Linked DNA regions of Drosophila melanogaster. The protein of the gene in region 2 purifies or fractionates together with the protein of the main gene of each other region. This does not show direct contact. Each region holds a gene or a part of one and is shown on either strand. Other genes may lie near its edges. The genes, in order: unk, Sin1 and raptor.

Region 1 (7,852 bases), on a different chromosome or scaffold from region 2:
ACATCTCGTGGAGATTCATAAAGTAAATTAGCAAATCTTTCAAACTGTGTCTCCGGTGATGAGAGTCAGTGATATTCTGAGAGAGGTATGCATTCAGTTTTCAGTTTAGTTTGGTAATACACACAATAGATTTGCGACTCAACAGCTCCATTATAAAACCAATTTTCTCATTGTTTGTTCTCGTGATTTTTAGTTTTTTTGTGTACACTTGTATCATAAACTATTAAAGCATTTATAAGTTAACACACAATTGTTTATTGTTATATTTATTAATTATTTGTATTTCTTGCTGATTTGGCTTCTACAAAACATAGTACAAACACACACAGAGATAAGAGCCTTTGCGCTGCCTTTCCTAGTTAGCTTTGTAATAATATAATTCAGTTTTTCATTTGTATATATATATTCATAGTGTTGCTTTTGTTTCAAATAAATGCCTATGTTGATTTCATATTCATATTCAATTCATTCCCAGAACAGTTTCATTTTGATTACATCTTTATCAATTCAACTCAACTAGCTAACAACACGTTTCAGTTTCATTCAACATTGTCCAATTGATTACGTTTGATAATTTTAATTCGCAGAAAAATACAATGGTTTTTGAAGACGGTTTTACATTAACTCTGGTTAACATTTTCATTAAACTCTGTTCATTTCGCTGTATCGAGTTACTTTTATTGTTTATGCTTTCAACATCACACTCATCGAATCTGCGTTCAAATTTCCCATAAATATATATCTGTTCATATTCGTTCTTGTACAATCAGCCAAATGCTGGATTTAATATGACTTAAATACTACGTTTTGACATTGACGATTCATTTTATGCTTTTACTAATTTGGAAGCGTCCAGTTGAGACTATGAAAGTAAAATGAAAATTGAAGTCATCTGCAAAGTAAGTACTTAAAGCACTATTCAAATCACAAAGTAACCTAATAGATTATATACGTAAGTTGATAATTTTGTGACTGGTTAATTGGCATTGGCTTACACGAGCTGCACCAAGGCCTAAACAAAAATCAAAGTGTTTTAATACATTCAACTTGGTTTTCAATAAGACAAAATGAAATGAACTTTCGATAAGGAAAAGCGTTGTCGCCTTTAGTTACTTCTCGTTTCAACGTCTATAATTACTTTTGTGCATTTGAAAAAGGAAAATAAAAGCTGAGTACTGACTAATATTGATTACCCGTCAGTTACATTGATTTTATGACCATTGTCTTGGCTTTTAGTTGTAGTTTGCATTCACAAGTTTGAAACACATACATAAAAAATACAGTTTGAAAATCGGCTTATATAAAATCACTGGTGGTATTTGTTTGTTTGTGGTTGTTTTCTGCTCTTCTATGCGACAATATATTGTTAAATTTGTTGGTTTCTATAAATTTGTTAATAGTCAATTGCTAAAAGTGTCTAGAAAAATTAATATATTATATATTTATATATCTTTCATTCAATTACATCTTGTAATTGTTTAGTTCTCATAATTTCTTATGTAATACTAGTGAAAAGTACAATATGACTGAAAGTGTAGCATATTTAAATACAAATATAGAGATACATATGTGGTTAAAAAAAAAATAAATGAGACATTGCAAATTCGTGCAGTAGATTAGAAAATATGTATGCCTAAACATTGAATATTAAACAAAATTAAAAGAGTTGGTTACATAAATCATAGTACAAAATCAATTTAAAATGTTTTTTCCTGTATTCGATTCGATATGAGAAAAAATAAACAAAAATAAAATTACATACTTATTCGTTTAGAGCAGCTAGCTAATTCAATTAATAGTTTGTGCCTAGTAATTACTAATATTCATGACGATAATTTGCATATTTTGAGTAGATTGAAAACATAAATTATATATTCCCTGCCACATGCACAATTAGTAGGCATGTGTCAAATCCTAACTGTTCAAAAGTTTCAACGTTTTGCTTAAGACTAAAGTTTGCTTTGTGAGTACCACATTGTCATGCTGTTCGCGGTCTTGATCCCCATGATCCATTCATATCCCATCGGAATCCCCTTTCCCATCCCTATCCGATTTTCAGCCAAAGGGCCACTTGTGGTCCTGTTGCTGATAAAACATGTTCTAGGTGTGGGTGGTTATTACCGGCACCTGACAGTAGGGACACTCGGTGACCGATTCAGCGCATGTATTGCAAATAGACAGGTGGTTGCACGGCTCCAGAGTAACCGTGCGATTGTTCTCCTCGCACTTCATGCACTTCTTGGCATTTTCTAAATATAATACTTTGTCGACCTCCTCCAAGTCGGTGCGCAGCTTGGACTAAAATGGTAGCAGGTTAAAACCCATGGAATTGGGAAATTAATTAAGCGACTAACCTGCAATTGCTTCAATTTCTGTATGGACAAGTCCCGAAGCTCTGCTGGCAAATTTAGCTGTATCTGTGCTAGGTCATAGCGCTCCTTCCACTCCTGCGCCTCCTGCTTGGCCTTGTCCCGATGGAGCTCCGCGATCTTTAGCTTGCATGCCATGTCCTCGAAACGTCCGTTCAACTTGTGAATTTGAGCATTCTTCGTGAGCAGCTCATTGGTGATGCGACCCAAGTCGCTGTTGTTTTGCGACTGCAGAGATTGAAGGCTAAACGCATTCTTGGCCGTATTGAGAGTGTTCTCGAACAGACTATTTCCCACCGAGCTGCTGTTGATGTCGTCGCGTATGGTATTCAATTCGGATATCCTTACCGAAGGACTAATCGACAAGCCATCGCCAAAGCCAGGCGATATGATGCGCGACGGAAAGAAGAGACTGCTATCGTTCTGGGTGGCCGAAAGGGAATTGCTGAGTTTGTTTGAGCCGCCATAGTTGAAGGCGTCCACGTTGAAGAGATTGGCATGGTTGGTGGGACTGTAGGTGAGCGAGCTGCTGGGAATGTTGACGGCAAAGCTACCTGAGTTAAAATCTGTGCAAATGGAATGGAGTATTAGCATTAGCAATTAGTTGGCACTCATAGGACGTTGATGACTACTTACCGTTAATTGAGTTACTTAGAGTCGTATTAGGAATGTTAATTGGCGCCGAGGAACGTGTTAATAAGCTAGTATTGGCCAGACTCGCCGACAATGAGTTCTCGCGCGGATCGTCCATTGAGCAAGCTGCTTGCAAAGAGTGAAGACAAAAAATTATTGAATTTCAGTTAGGCTAGGGGTCACGACATTTGCTATCTAAGCGCTGACATTCTTTGTCCACAACCAAAACGAAGAACTGATTTCTAGTGTATAACTTAGACGTACGCATGTCAGGACTCTGGGATACTCACAACGACTGTCCAGGGGTCGTGAGAAACTTAAAAATTTGCTGAAATTTGTTGTGTTTTCCAAAGCGTCTACCAACATTTTATTGGTGCTATTACCATCAATGTTCAACAACTAAGAGAACAAAACGAAAAGAAAAAAATCGAGGAGAGCAGGACACATGATTAAATGGCTTATCGAAAGTGTTAAGCAGTTAGTTGATGATGGTTAGCTGGATTAGAGCGGCAAACGATGTGTGGTAGTACGTTTAGGTTTAGGCGATGCAAATCGATGGCGTTATTTGGATGAGTGTTATTGCTTCGGTAATACGTACATTATCGACCCTTTGAAACGCATCCTGAGCTTTTAAATCAGGATAGGCATTGGAAATAAGCTCGTTTAGGTATACCGTGTGATCCCGCGTCTTCTCGTCAATTGAACATGCTTTATTTGGATTGGGAGTAGTTACATGGACAAGCAACACCGAGCGGCAAAGCAAACATTGATTGATGTACGTGTTTTCAAAGGATTTGAGTGATAGTTGGAAACAGATTTGCGGTTTGATGGATGAGGCGAGTAAAAGACAAACATTAAGTTAGAACTGTAATATCATAACTTGGCCCTAAACACATCCCTACAACAACTGGTTGTGGAGCACAACGCTGAGTCCTATATATTAGCTCATCGAATCCTCTATACTTACGTTCCACATGGGCAAAGGCGCAGAAGACGCTGCGCGGACAGTATCCGGCCTGCTGGACATCGTTGCACTTGGTCGACTTGTAGATCTCCGGGTGGAACTGCTGCTCGGTGCGTGTGTGGCAGTACTGGCAGTTATCGCCGGCCTCGCAGTTGCCCGGTTCTCCCCATTCCTCGCCGTGCTTGACATTGGGGCAAGGAGTGGACCTAAAACAATGGTATATCGCGGTTTAAAACTGACTTTAGGATGAATTCAGGGGAAATCTTACCTGTACTTGTATTTTCTGGGCGAGCGACGTTTGTCCTTGCTATTGTGGTACTGTGGACAAGCGTATCCTTGGCGGCACAGGCGCGGTGGGCGCTTGCAGGGCTCTGTCTTGTAATTGGCCAGCACGTAGTTGGTGTCCTGCCACTTGGGATCCTCGTTCATCAAATTGCGCTCCTTGTCCAGGGCATTCAAAGCATTAGTGCTGTCCAGTGTGCTCTCTGCGTTCTGCAGGGTCTCCAGCTCTTTGATGTCATAAACCGGTGGGCGCTGGTCCTGCATGCCGTGGGCGAAGGCGCAGTGTAGTCCATTCTTGACGCAGTATCCTCGGCTGTCGGTGTCGTGGACGCACATGCATGTCTTGTAGTAGCGCAGATGGTATCGCCTTTCGGTGTCGCCAGCAGTGCGGTGTAAGTAGGGGCATCTAAATGGGGAGAAAGGGAGTTTTAGTGACGTCAAAGCAGGCGACGAGGCTAAGTGAATGGACTGTATGATACCCATTAATTAAAAAGAACCGTAACAAAAAACAACAAAGTTGTACATTTACAGCAAAATCATCATTTTAATACATGTTTGAGGGTATTTCTTTAATAAGTAAAAGAAATTTCTCTTTCAAAACTAAAACCGCTTTCTTTCCACCTTCGTACCCTGTAAGGAGACTACAACGATAAATGGATAGAATGGAGGTCGGGGTCAGAGGTTGGACCTCGAGTCTGGGTCATAAAAACAGACATTGTTGTTGTCTCTCGCAAAGCGTAATTGCGTTTTACTTTTAGCCCGTTCTTACACTTCACAGAGCTTTTCTCCAAAGCTCGCCAGCCACAATAACTGTACATTTCGAAGCTGCCGGGGGAAAATCAAAATAAACGAAGAAGAAAACACGCAAAAGCGAAACGCAATAAAAACAATGACGCACACACTTGTAGCGATGCCCTACGTCTGTGCGTGTGTTTGTTTGTGCGTACCTGTGTGTATGCGAGCGTCTGTGCATGTATACATGCGACAAGAGAGCAACAACCACCACAAAACGGATGCTGATAAGAATTTGCTAGCCCACTAGAGCTGGAATCACTTTCACTTTTGCACGGTGGTGACCTCGCCTGCACACACATACACATGCACAGAGATACAGCAAGCAGCACGCCCACATACGCACTTACAATTTCACTTTTGGCTTTCCAGACAACGCCAGGCCCCTGCCACCGCCCCCACCACACCCCCCTGCACACAAACACACTATGGTTTTTGTTTGTAAACACGAAGACAAGAGATACACACACATCGCGAAGGAAGGAGAGCGCAAAGAGGAAACAAAAAAAATACAACGTCGTTCGCTATTGCTGTCTCATCCATCCTCCGCCACTGCAATCGTCCCGTCCAGCGTTTTCACGGGCCATCAGAAACTATGAATTTCACAACATTTCTACTCACTCGTCGCCCTCGGGACAAATCCCAGTGGTCTCGTCGTATTTGGTGCAATAGTTATCCGCACTGTAGTTGAAGGTGCCATCGCGTTTTCGCACTGGACGACGCCGACGCTGGTTTTGAAAATGCCAATTGAAACAGACGAAGGGGCGATGCTGGTTGCACTTGTGCTGTAAAAACGACTGGCACTGCTCCACGCGGAACTCCTTCAGGTAGCTGAAACGGTTGGCGGAAAGGTTGCACGTCAAATTAACCATCGTTTGCATTAGTTAGCATCTATTTACGTGTAGTGATTTGGTTTTTCCTGCTGCGAGGAAAGCAGCAGCTTGTTCGTTTCATTTGCCAACATCGTTGTTAGTGATGTGCAAAAAACATCGGTGCGTCGGGCATCCATGGCCTTAAGTCGATTGATATCGATAATTTTTGTCGGCATCGTCCATATCGATTGGTTAGCAAATACACACACCCCAGTTGATGGGTGGTTAGCCGGGACGCAAACGAAACAAATTTGGCGCCAAAATTAATGCGAAATTGTTATGCATGTGTTTTATTTATAACAACGCCTATATATTATAACACACATTTCAAAGGGAAAACATTTCGAAGAAGGAAAGCAAAAGCGTTTCTAGTCCAAGGGTATGGGAATGAAGGCGTTGATTCTGTCCGTCTGTCGCTGCGCTATGCATTCGCTAATCCAGACGATATTGCGTACCTCCAACTGTTTAAGTTTAATGAACGAGTAGAAGATCCCGAAATGGTACTGCTGCAGGAAGGTCTGCACATTCTTCTTGGCCTCCATCATGAGAAAGCGGTCCTCCAGCGTAATCATGCCGTCCGAGTCGCGCTCCAAATTGTCAAACATTTTGCCATAGCCATCGAACACATTGCAAACATCCCTTATTTTATCCGTATCATTTAAAGTGGACATGGAGGCCAAGGCTATTTTGGGCAGGTAGCCACAGGTGGGGAACATCTTTAGACGCTCCTTCGGTCTGAGTGTTGGAAGGTGGGCATTATGAGTATAATATGAAGAATTTCATAGCAACACAGATATCTTACATGATATCACTGCCAATAGCGTTCACAGCTATTGTAATGGTCCGACGATCCGCCTCGAAGGACAATAGATTGGTCATCACGTTGGCGGTATTGCCGCCCAGTTGGCTGCAATAGGCGTAGAATTTCTCCAAATAAGCACGATACAGATGGGCACGCACAATCTCCACGTCGAGGTAACGCAACGACTCCATGGGCAAATCGCGTGGCACAAACCGAGCGATGGGCGTGTCAATTAGAACGGCGTCGAAGAGCTCCGCAGAATTCGAGGCCACTTCGATGGCGCCCAGTTGATCGAATTCGCCCAGCGGATGACACATTCTTAGCAGACGCTTCATGGATCGGTGATTGTTTAGGCCAGCGACCAGAAGCGCCACATTATCGATCATGAACGGATATCGTATGAACTCCATAAAGGTGGTCAGCGGCTCCGTCGAATGACTGCGTATGTAGTAGTATTGCTGCAGCAGACGATCCCTAAGGCATCTTTCGATCACCTCAACGGACGGCGCTGATTGTTCGCCACCAAAGATGAGACCGTAATCCGTGCCCTGGATGCTGATCATTACGTCCTCGAGGGATTCACACTGGGTCAGATTTAGATAGTCCGAGTGCTTTAGCATGCCGTTCTTGAATCCGCGCGTTAGGGCCTCCAGGTAGCCATACTCCGTGTTGAATATCATCGACATTTTGACTTATTATTATTTTCGAGCTATCTATTAGTAGGAATTCACACGCCAGGCAACTTTTAAGTGAAAGCAGAAATTGATAGATGGAACATGCGGTGATAGGTATTTCTCGGATGAACTGATTCTGATATAAATACTAAGGATTCTAGATGCTAAAATAATATTTATTAAGCTACAAATATATTTATATATAATATTTAAATATTCGGTGGCGGTATCTACCGATGCACGCTAGATGGCGCTACCGATGGTGCAAGGCTGCCATTCGTTTATCCTTTTTGACAATATGGCAGCGCTCTAACGGTTTTTTAAATTTTAACTTTAAATTTGAAAAGATATTATTTGTTTGGTTTGTTCGTTTTAAAGTGCATCCAACTAGATTATTTTAGTTATAAGAAAATGCACCTAGTTAAAGCTTGCTATTTGAATTTCAGATAGCTATTTATCGGCCC
Region 2 (4,279 bases):
GCCACTTCCTCGGGGAATTGCAGCGTCAGTTGCAATGTTTTGTTCACTTGAACATAAATCGAAAGCTGACATTTGCCTCGATTTGGTCACGCCAACAGCATCATCATCGCCATCAGACGAACGGCCTCAAATGTCGCGCATTTTGGCGTGATTTCGAGTCACTAACCTTGGCCTTAGAACGCGCTGCTGCAATCGCTTGGTTAGCCGACGCTGCAGATGCATATGCATGCAACGATCGTCTAACGGCAGTTAGCCATTATTCTCGACTACTCCACAGCTGTTAGCAGGCGACCTAGGCGCCCAACCCAGTCATCGCTGGCATTGCAAAACTAAAAATAAACAGCCAGACCGAAAACAATATGTGCAGTAATACGACTAACCGTTGGATCCGTCCCCGTCTGGTTGTCTGTGCGATTAATTGCACATTGATTACAGACAATTGCAGTGGGTAGAGTGAGAAAAACGGAAATGAAAACCAGATATACTGCTAAAAACGCGGCCAAATCGCGCGTGAATCGCTTCAAAACCGCAATGTAAACGCCAGCGGCAAGGCGGAAGCAAAAATGTAGAGATTACCGATTTTAAGTGTAAATTTTGCAATTTTATTTTCAGGACCAGGCTTCGTAGTTGGGTGAGTTCAATAAATACTTACAGGCTAGGCAAACATGTGTAACACAATCTTTAGTTAGCAACTAATACAACTTATCGAACAGGAGGCGGAGGCGGAGGCGGAGAAGTAGGCGGGGACGTTGCAGCGGCAGTGACAGTTGCCCGCCTGCTAGGCAAACGAGCGACAGCCGCTGCCATAGGAATAAATACTACAACTTCAGCTGCCTCTTCTCCTGCTTCCGATCGCGCTGCAAAAGGAACTCGCGCCTCAGATCGCTGGATCGCATCTCTAGTATGCAGTTCAGCTTGTTGTGGATCTGCTCCGCCGTGTGGGTGTCCGTATCGAAGTCGTAGTGCTTAAAGCGAATATTGCTGCTTGAAAAGAGTCCGGAAGAGTGACCCGGACTGCTGGGCGAGTGGGCAATCCCACCACTGCCGCTTCCCGCATTCAGTGTGGTTACGCTGGCGTTGATCGGCGCCGAAGTGCAGCCCGTGGAGAAGGAAGGGGACGAGGAGTTTGACTTCAGCCAGATGCGCAACAGAGCCTTCAGGTGGCGTCGCTCCAAAATCTCGCAGTGAGCAACAAAGTCAATGGGAGTGGATACGGGCTTCTTCTGCGGCCAGAACTTGGCATTCTTGCACTGATCGATCTCTATTCTCTCACCAGATATTCCCAGAGTCACATCGGATTTGAAGAACCTCTTGTCGATGATGTTGAGGCGGAAAGTACGATGCATGGGTGCTTCCAGCATATCGTTGTGATTCAACAATCGCTTCTCATACTCCTTGACATTATCGTGTGGACTATCGCCTCCTCCACCTCCTCCACCCGGATCACTAGTTCCTCCATTTAGGCTAATATTTTGCAGAGCCTTGACAGCCGCATCGGACAGAGCTGTCTTGTCTTCCACGGAAGTCATGGATTTACTGCCCAGCTGGCTGTGGTAATCAACTCGCGTCACTGGAGCCAATGGCCGACGCTCTGCGAGGGTCAGTTGGGAGAAGCCAAACTTAGAGCAGGGTTCGCGATTGTCCAACGGTGGGAAGTCTTCCATATCATCATTATCCTCTGTCATATACAAAGCGTAATGCTGCAGGGACTTCAAAGGAACGTCGGGATATTGTAAGGAGGTCCTGTAGCAGACAAAACCAATTACCTCCTGGATTTTGGCAGTGGCTACGACGCAGATCTTCAACGGGTAGTTGCGATCCGGCTCGGGAAGCATATTTAAAAACACGTTTATCCGTTTCGTTTGCATACCCACTTGGGAGGTGCCATCGAAGCGGGCGAATTCAATGAAGCGATTCTGTGCTTGCTTTGGACTTTTGGCCAACTGTTCAGTGAGCTGGCTCTGAACACCCTCATCTGACAGATCATCGTCGTTGGCTTTCGGTTCATTTTTAACTCGCTCAGCTTTGCTGAGGGGCAACTCTTTGCGTTTAAAGAAATCATCGCTCTCCGGTGGCTGCACTTCCTCCTGGTAGTTAACACTCTTGATGCGCGCCGCCCTTCGCTTGGCAATATCCAGTTTCTCTAGTTTTTGGGCAGTGTTGGAGCGAAAGCGGTGGGCGCCCACCTCCGGATACATTTGGATGTCAAAGGAGTGCGTGGACATGTCCTCCTCGTCGTCGCTGAGGTCCAGTCCCGGATAGCAGATGAAGTCCACTTCCTGGAGTGGCGCATCCGGATGCCGGGTGTTCCGCTCCGGTGTTGTCCCGCCCCCCGTCGGCGGTGTCTTGTGCGCCCGTCGCCAATGATAGTGATCTCCTCCAGCGCCCGAGTTACCGAATTTTCGCAAATAGTGTTTGGGCATGTCATCGCTCAGCATCACCGTCTCGCACATTCCGGTGTCGTCCGTGGATATGAAGGAGTTGCGGATGTGGGAGAGCAGCCAATGCTGGTTGGAGTAGGTCGCCATGGTAGTAAACAAAAGAAAATCTCTTTTTCAAAATTAATTTCTATTTATCTCAGCATCTCGGAAAAATGCACTAACGCCTTTGGATTATCTAGAGATGGAACATTGCGGTTGTTACTGGTCACTTTTTGGTGGTGGTAACGAATAGCACGCACAAGTCACCGTTCCCAACAGAACATAAGAGGAATACCTACTACATGAATATACTTAAATTATGCAATTAAGATAAAGGTTATACCAAGTACTTATTATCAAAGTAATATTTTGAATTTACATGCAAGTCTAGTTGTAGCGGTACTCGTTAAATCTGGTCTTTTTTCATTCAACGCAAACGGTCACTCTAGGCCACCATATGACTTTTTTCTGGACGCGAAAAATTGCCGAGTTACAGAATAAGTTAATTATAGTGAGTTTATCGTCGCCTGACCTGCCGTTTTTCGATGTCCACTTCTTGAGAACTCCCAATCGGATAGAGTCGATGTGCTAGCCAACGGCGAAATGGCGGGCATGGAGGTAGAATTCGACGAGACGGTGGCCAATCAGTTCAGCTGCAAGCGCTGCGACCGAGTAAGTGTGTGGGAAATGTCTCCTATTACCTCAATCTAACCACTATCCATTGATGCAGACCTTCAGAAGCAAGCGGGATCAGACGTTGCATCGACAAGAGGTGCACAACCACAACAAGACCACCTACGAGTGCAAGCTGTGCGCGAAGAGCTTCTGCAATTCGGGGAACCTGGATCGTCACATGAAGGTGCACAACGATGTGCGGCCTTTCGTGTGTAACATTTGCTCGAAGGCCTTCGCCCAGGCTGTGAACCTGCAGCGCCACTATGCGGTGCACAGCGGGGAGCGGCCATTCACCTGTAACTTCTGCAACAAGTCCTTCACCCAGCAGAGCAACATGAAGCGCCACAAGATGACACACACTGGCGAGAAGCCGTTCCGCTGCCAGCGATGCGGCAGGTACTTCTCCCAGCTGGTTAACCTCAAGAAACACAAGCTTGGCCACCTCAACGCCAAGCCCTACCAGTGTAATTACTGCGAGAAGGGCTTCACCCAGCTGTCAAACTTTAAGCGCCACTTGCAGTCGCACATAAAGGAGGGCGTCGATGTGGACGTGCCCGCCTCTATCCAGGCGGCTGCCGCCCTGGCCAGGGAACGGCTTGAGTCGGAGCAGAAACCGTGAGTACTTGCCGGCTGTAGAAGATCAAGGTGCCCTTTGATTAGTTCAACCTGTTCAGACCTACCTTAAGTTGCCTATTCGACACCGATTATCGACGGGTCATGATTAGATTCGGTGCTGATTAGTGTGCTTAACTGTGCTCATTTCCCTTTTATGAACAATTAATACTATATGCATTTTTGAAGGTGTACACGTTCCCAATCAATACTTTTATATATTAATTGACTAGCCTCAAAACTATCCTTGATCCTTCTACATTTGCTTGTTGTGAATTTTATTATTGAATTAAAACATTTCATTTTCAGAAGCTTTTTCGAATGCATGGTGTGTCGGGCCATCTTTGATACCTTCGCTGACTATGAGAAGCACGAAGCCAAGTGCCATGAGGACCACGAAAGGGCCCAGCTGGAGGTTAACCAGATGTCCCACATGCATCCAGACGACTATTTGCCCATGAAGTTTGCCGTGCCCGATCTGGATACGCACGAAATCATAATTGAGACTACACATTAGAAATGGCAATAATTTTAAATGAAATACCACGAAAACACACAACCCAACTCACACC
Region 3 (4,694 bases), on a different chromosome or scaffold from region 2:
CGACATATCCTCGCCGACGGTTTCGAGCATGGTAATGGCAATGATGCGATCGATATTATTGGCCTGTTCCTCGCTACGATCCGTCACGGAGCTAATAAATGTGCCTAAGGCGAAGACGGCAGCGGCTCTCACTTCCGGTATCGAGTCCCGCAGCAGTACGTACAGCTTCTCGTGCGCCAGGTCGCGTGCTCCCGACCAACGCGCCTTCTCAAAGTTCTGCCACAGCATGCCCAGACAGATGGCTAGCCACTGGCGCAGCAGCCAACTTCCGTCGTTCAACTGCTCAAGGCAAATAGACAGTAGGGGACCTTGAAGCGCGCTCGTCTGTCCCAGCAGGAAGTTGTGCACTATGGAGGACAATACAAAGGCGGACAGTGTACGGTGCTCCTTGGAAACGGAGGTGTCCTGCAGCACGGAGAGGAAGTACTTGTATTCCTTGACCAGATCCACCTGGCAGCTGGGATCCACGGCCAGGATCTTGGCCCAAATGAACACCAAAACGGGTCGCAGTTCGCGCGTAGAACTCTGCAGCAGTTTAAGCACGTATGGAAAGATGCCCACGCCCAGGGCGAGATTAACGGCCCACGGACCAAGATCCAGAAAGCGAGCCAGCAGCTCCAAGGCCCTCAGACGGTGCACCTGCGACAGTAGGACCTGCAGCACAATGGGCAGCTGTTCCGGTGGCGTTCTCGACTCCGATTCGCTGTCCAGCCAAACCTGGAAGGCCGTGAGCTGGTGCTCGAAGAATGGCAGCTGGCGGTACGGCGCATTGTGATCGAGAATCTCCGGCAGCTGCTGTAGAGCCAAATCTACCACCAGATCCCAGGCCTTCCACATCGGATGGCGATAACAAGGCGGCAGGGCAGGCAGGGAAACTGGTGTGCAGTCGTGGCTTCGCAGAATGCGCTCGGCCAACAGGAAATTGCGGAACAAGCTGGCCACCAGCAGATCCTGGCGAAACAGGCGCTGAAAGAGCTCGCGAGGAAGTGTGTTCCATGCTATCGTGTCCGTAATGGCGGTGAAGATCCAGTTAAGCTCACCCATCATAGTGCGCCGGTCGTTGACCTTGCCTGCGATAGAATTTAATGGTTAACAGCATTCCCTGGGTGAGTAAAGGTATAACCTTACCTGGAATCTTGTCGATCAGTTCGCTCTGAATACGCGGTACCATGCCCAGCTTTTCTTGCATGGCGTACCACTTGAGCGCTATGTTAATGGGTGTTGTCAGACAGCTGGTGAAAAGATCCGCCGGCAGCTGTGCATTCATCGGAAGAATCTCGTTTGCAGCACAGGCAGCCAGGTGTATACAGTTCTTGTAACTGACCATCTGGTTGGTTAACTGCACCTGGTTGGCGGCTACGTTGGCGGCACCACCAGAGCCGCCCACTAACTGTTGGACACCACCCCTCTGCTGGGCGGCGGCCAGCGCCTTCCCTAGTTCTTCCTCGTGCTGTTTAGCGTATGGCTGAAACGAATTGATGATGATCCCGGCGTTGGAGCAGTCATACACGTAGATGGAGGGCGCTGACATCCAAGTGATAAGCTCGAATATGCTCAGGGGGATGTACTGCGTGAAGGTCTTGTTGAACACCCAGATCTCCCCGTTGGCTGTGGGCTTGGGCACTCCGTGTCCGTTGTAGTGGAAGAGTATGCGCTCCCCCTTGGCGTTCCGGCGTAGGGAGGTGCAGAGCTTCTTAACGTCATCCACGGTGGGATCGTTGCACTTCTTGTACCGGGCCCTTGGCTGCCAGCGTTCGTACTGCATCTGCAGGTTGCTTCCAATGAGTTCCATGGCCTTTGGCGGGGACACCGAGCTGGGATCTATCCAGCACTCTAGCCGTGAGCAGGGTTGGATCTTGACCACGTCCGGCGGATCCACGCCGATGTTGAGGCACAGAACCAGGGCCACACTTGCCGTCTTCATGCGCTCGCGGATGCGCCACGGCTGTCTCTCGTACATCATGGCCTGGATGCGCTCCTTGTGCCTTTTAGTCTGCAGGGAGAGCGGGCACCTGTCGTCGCGGATACGCTCGCCGAAGCATAAGCTCCGAGCGGGCGGCATGCCCAGGATCTGTATTTCCTTCAACCGCAGTTTGATAGAGTCGTCCCGGGGCCATTCCTTTCTGATAGTCCGGATTAGCTCCCTCAAAGAACCGAGGGAGGCCAGTTCCTGGCCGTTGGAGGCCTGAATGTCGGATATTTGCTCGATGTGCTTCACGATTGGTACCAGTGATTGGTCCTGCCTCATGTTGCTAATCACCTTACCCAGGTCGTTCAGAGAGTCGTCCTGAGATGGGTCCCGGCCGATGGCCACCTGGTTCCCCAAGGCGGCGGATCGACAGTGCTCGATGTGCTCCAGTTGCTCCATTATCAAGATTATCGGATCGTCCCACGGGGCGAATACATATTTCTCGTATCTCTTGCGGATTAGGACGCTCAGGACGGCCTCCTTGCTGGAGGCCACCTCTTGATCCGCGACGCTGCCGTTGCTGCTGCCGCTGCTTTCGTCGACTGCGACGCCGACTGCGGCAGCGGCGGACTTAGCGCGAACGGCACTTGTCATGTTCTGCGTGCTTTTTGTTTCTCTCGTTTCTCGCTGTATTGCTTTTTTTCTTTTTCCGTTTGCCGAGGAGAGGGTGCAGCTCAATGCGAGCGATTTCCCGGAGCGATTACGTCTCGGTCGCGGATTCAATCAGCTAAAAATCCCCCCGAGGGGACTCTAGCACATAACCCCAAACACTTTTCGCACTTTCCGCACCTCCACCACCGCCAGCGCCTCCTCAGCTCCGCTCCGCGCTTTTCTGCTTTTCTTTCCACGTTCCTCTTCTCCACGTTTTCCGCCTACGGATCGCGGACCATTTCCCGAAAACGGGTAAAAAGAACTCGGGGAAAACACGCCGCCTGGGCTGATTAGGTCGATGCCGGGACAAAATAAAAACCGTACAACTATAGCGAGCGATCTCCGACGGAAGATGGTGCGCATTAACAGGTTTATTTACTTTCGCTTGGGTTTATTTATTTATGTTTAATCGAATTATATTATACGAAAAGAATTGCGCAGAAAATAGAGCTGGAACAAAAATCGATGATTTTTTCGATTGCACGCTGGCAAGCGGTTTACAACATTGATATCGATAATAAACTAACAGCGAAATGGCCTAGCTGTAATGAATGGCGTTGCCAGATCATTACAAGCTCATTTGTAGCGCGTAATTCAAAAGTTTGTTTTGGTTACATTGACAGAAAAAACTAAAGGACTGCTCACCCGCAAAACAGGATCCTCGTGCAAAGGCGGCGGATATCGTACAGTATGGATGCGATGACGGCCGAACAAACCCGTAGCGAAGCTTTCCGCACTTTTCAGCGTTCTCTGGGTCGCAGTATACTTGAAGTAGTACCACTCCGGATTGTACAACTCCGGAAGTAGATCCGGAAATCGCCGCTGCATCCGTTCCGCCAGCTCAATCAGCTCATCCTCACCCTCGGCCACCAGTAATTTCTCATCTTCAGTGGCATTCAGATGCATCCAGTGCCATTGGCGCAGCTTTTCCAATTCAGCGGTGCAGATCGGCGGCTTCGTCTGATCCAGAATGCGTTTCTTTATCTCTGATAGTCGATTTTGCGCCTGAAGGATAACGGATTCGCTAGGATTTCTAGTTCCGTGTCGGATGATGGTCCAAATTCGCGTCGGATGGCAGCCTTGTCGGGTGAAACGGTTAAAAGAGAAAAATCAGCTGTTCCATTGCCATTTGCTAGCAGTAGGCATCGGTAATAATAAACTAGTAATAGTATAATAACAAATCTAAAGCGATTCTCTGTTTTATGATCAATAAAGAATCCATATGCTTTCATGATTATGAATTCACTGTATTAAGCGAGCGCTGTTAACTGTCACATGGCACAACACATGTTTGTATTTCTAAGCGGGTGCCTACTGTGGGTGCGTTACACAGAAAACAACAAAAATACAAACCGGCGTATTTCGGTGGCGTTTCGTCATAATTTGCGATCGCTCTGTAGGGCGTCTTTGTGGACAGTCTGCCCTCGATATCTGCGCGATTAAGGCGGCGGCACTCCCCCTCTTCAGACAACGTCACGCCCACGAAGAAGTGGAGGAGCAACAAAAACAAGCAGTAAAATTGGCTTAGCATCTTTCCGGGCGGTGGAAAAACTTGTCACGAGATTAGAAACGAGGTTTACCGAAAAACGGGGTTAAAACGTGAAAAACAGAACGAAATGCCAGCTCAAAAGAAATCTAGGAAATAATAAACACGAAAGAAAAACAAATTGACAAGTGTGCTAGTCGCGCAAGGTGGCAAGGCTATCAGCTCAGCTGGCAGCCCTAACACATGGGGCAGCCAAAAAAAACCCGTTTCCACCGCCAGTTGGCGGTATTTTTAAATAGCATCTTCGATGGCATCAGTTGTAAGTGCTTGGTTGATTACTCATTTCAGGAAGCTTTATTAACACTATTTTATAATAAATTTAGTTAGATTTGCAGGTGCCTAAATCAGCGCATTGCCACTCAACAAGTGTTCACTTCGCCCAATCGAGCTTTCTGCCTCAAAAAGCTCTGTTTTAACCGGCCCGGCAAACTAAGCGATTAAAAAATGGTTTAGTCGCACGCCAAACACGCAAAAGGAATAAGCGTTGGCAAGGGAAGCATTTTGAATATCCTGTCCAAGAATAAAACG

What was found.
Region 1: the proteins of Sin1 (region 2) and unk purify together in Drosophila melanogaster (affinity purification with mass spectrometry; one large-scale study listed by BioGRID). This does not show direct contact.
Region 3: the proteins of Sin1 (region 2) and raptor purify together in Drosophila melanogaster (affinity purification with mass spectrometry, with the first as the bait; one large-scale study listed by BioGRID). This does not show direct contact.

What each region holds. Positions count from the first base shown.
Region 1 is NT_033777.3:23,151,840-23,159,691, forward strand, and holds unk (unkempt), read right to left. Parts: upstream 6,024-7,852; 5' UTR 6,005-6,023; coding exon 5,940-6,004; intron 5,872-5,939; coding exon 5,662-5,871; intron 4,655-5,661; coding exon 4,235-4,654; intron 4,173-4,234; coding exon 3,970-4,172; intron 3,711-3,969; coding exon 3,601-3,710; intron 3,402-3,600; coding exon 3,293-3,401; intron 3,132-3,292; coding exon 3,006-3,131; intron 2,936-3,005; coding exon 2,355-2,935; intron 2,299-2,354; coding exon 2,101-2,298; 3' UTR 253-2,100; downstream 1-252. Other genes in the region: VhaAC39-2 (vacuolar H[+] ATPase AC39 subunit 2), read right to left, coding at 6,281-6,647, 6,715-7,400. UniProt on the Drosophila melanogaster protein: Essential for late larval/early pupal development.
Region 2 is NT_033778.4:14,410,156-14,414,434, reverse strand, and holds Sin1 (SAPK-interacting protein 1), read right to left. Parts: upstream 2,611-4,279; 5' UTR 2,529-2,610; coding exon 819-2,528; 3' UTR 584-818; downstream 1-583. Other genes in the region: CG17385 (uncharacterized protein), read left to right, coding at 3,024-3,092, 3,151-3,710, 4,017-4,224. UniProt on the Drosophila melanogaster protein: Component of the target of rapamycin complex 2 (TORC2), which transduces signals from growth factors to pathways involved in proliferation, cytoskeletal organization and anabolic output.
Region 3 is NC_004354.4:6,087,144-6,091,837, forward strand, and holds the start of raptor (raptor), read right to left. Parts: upstream 3,059-4,694; 5' UTR 2,564-3,058; coding exon 1,129-2,563; intron 1,071-1,128; coding exon 1-1,070. Other genes in the region: Mipp2 (multiple inositol polyphosphate phosphatase 2), read right to left, coding at 3,266-3,699, 3,974-4,151.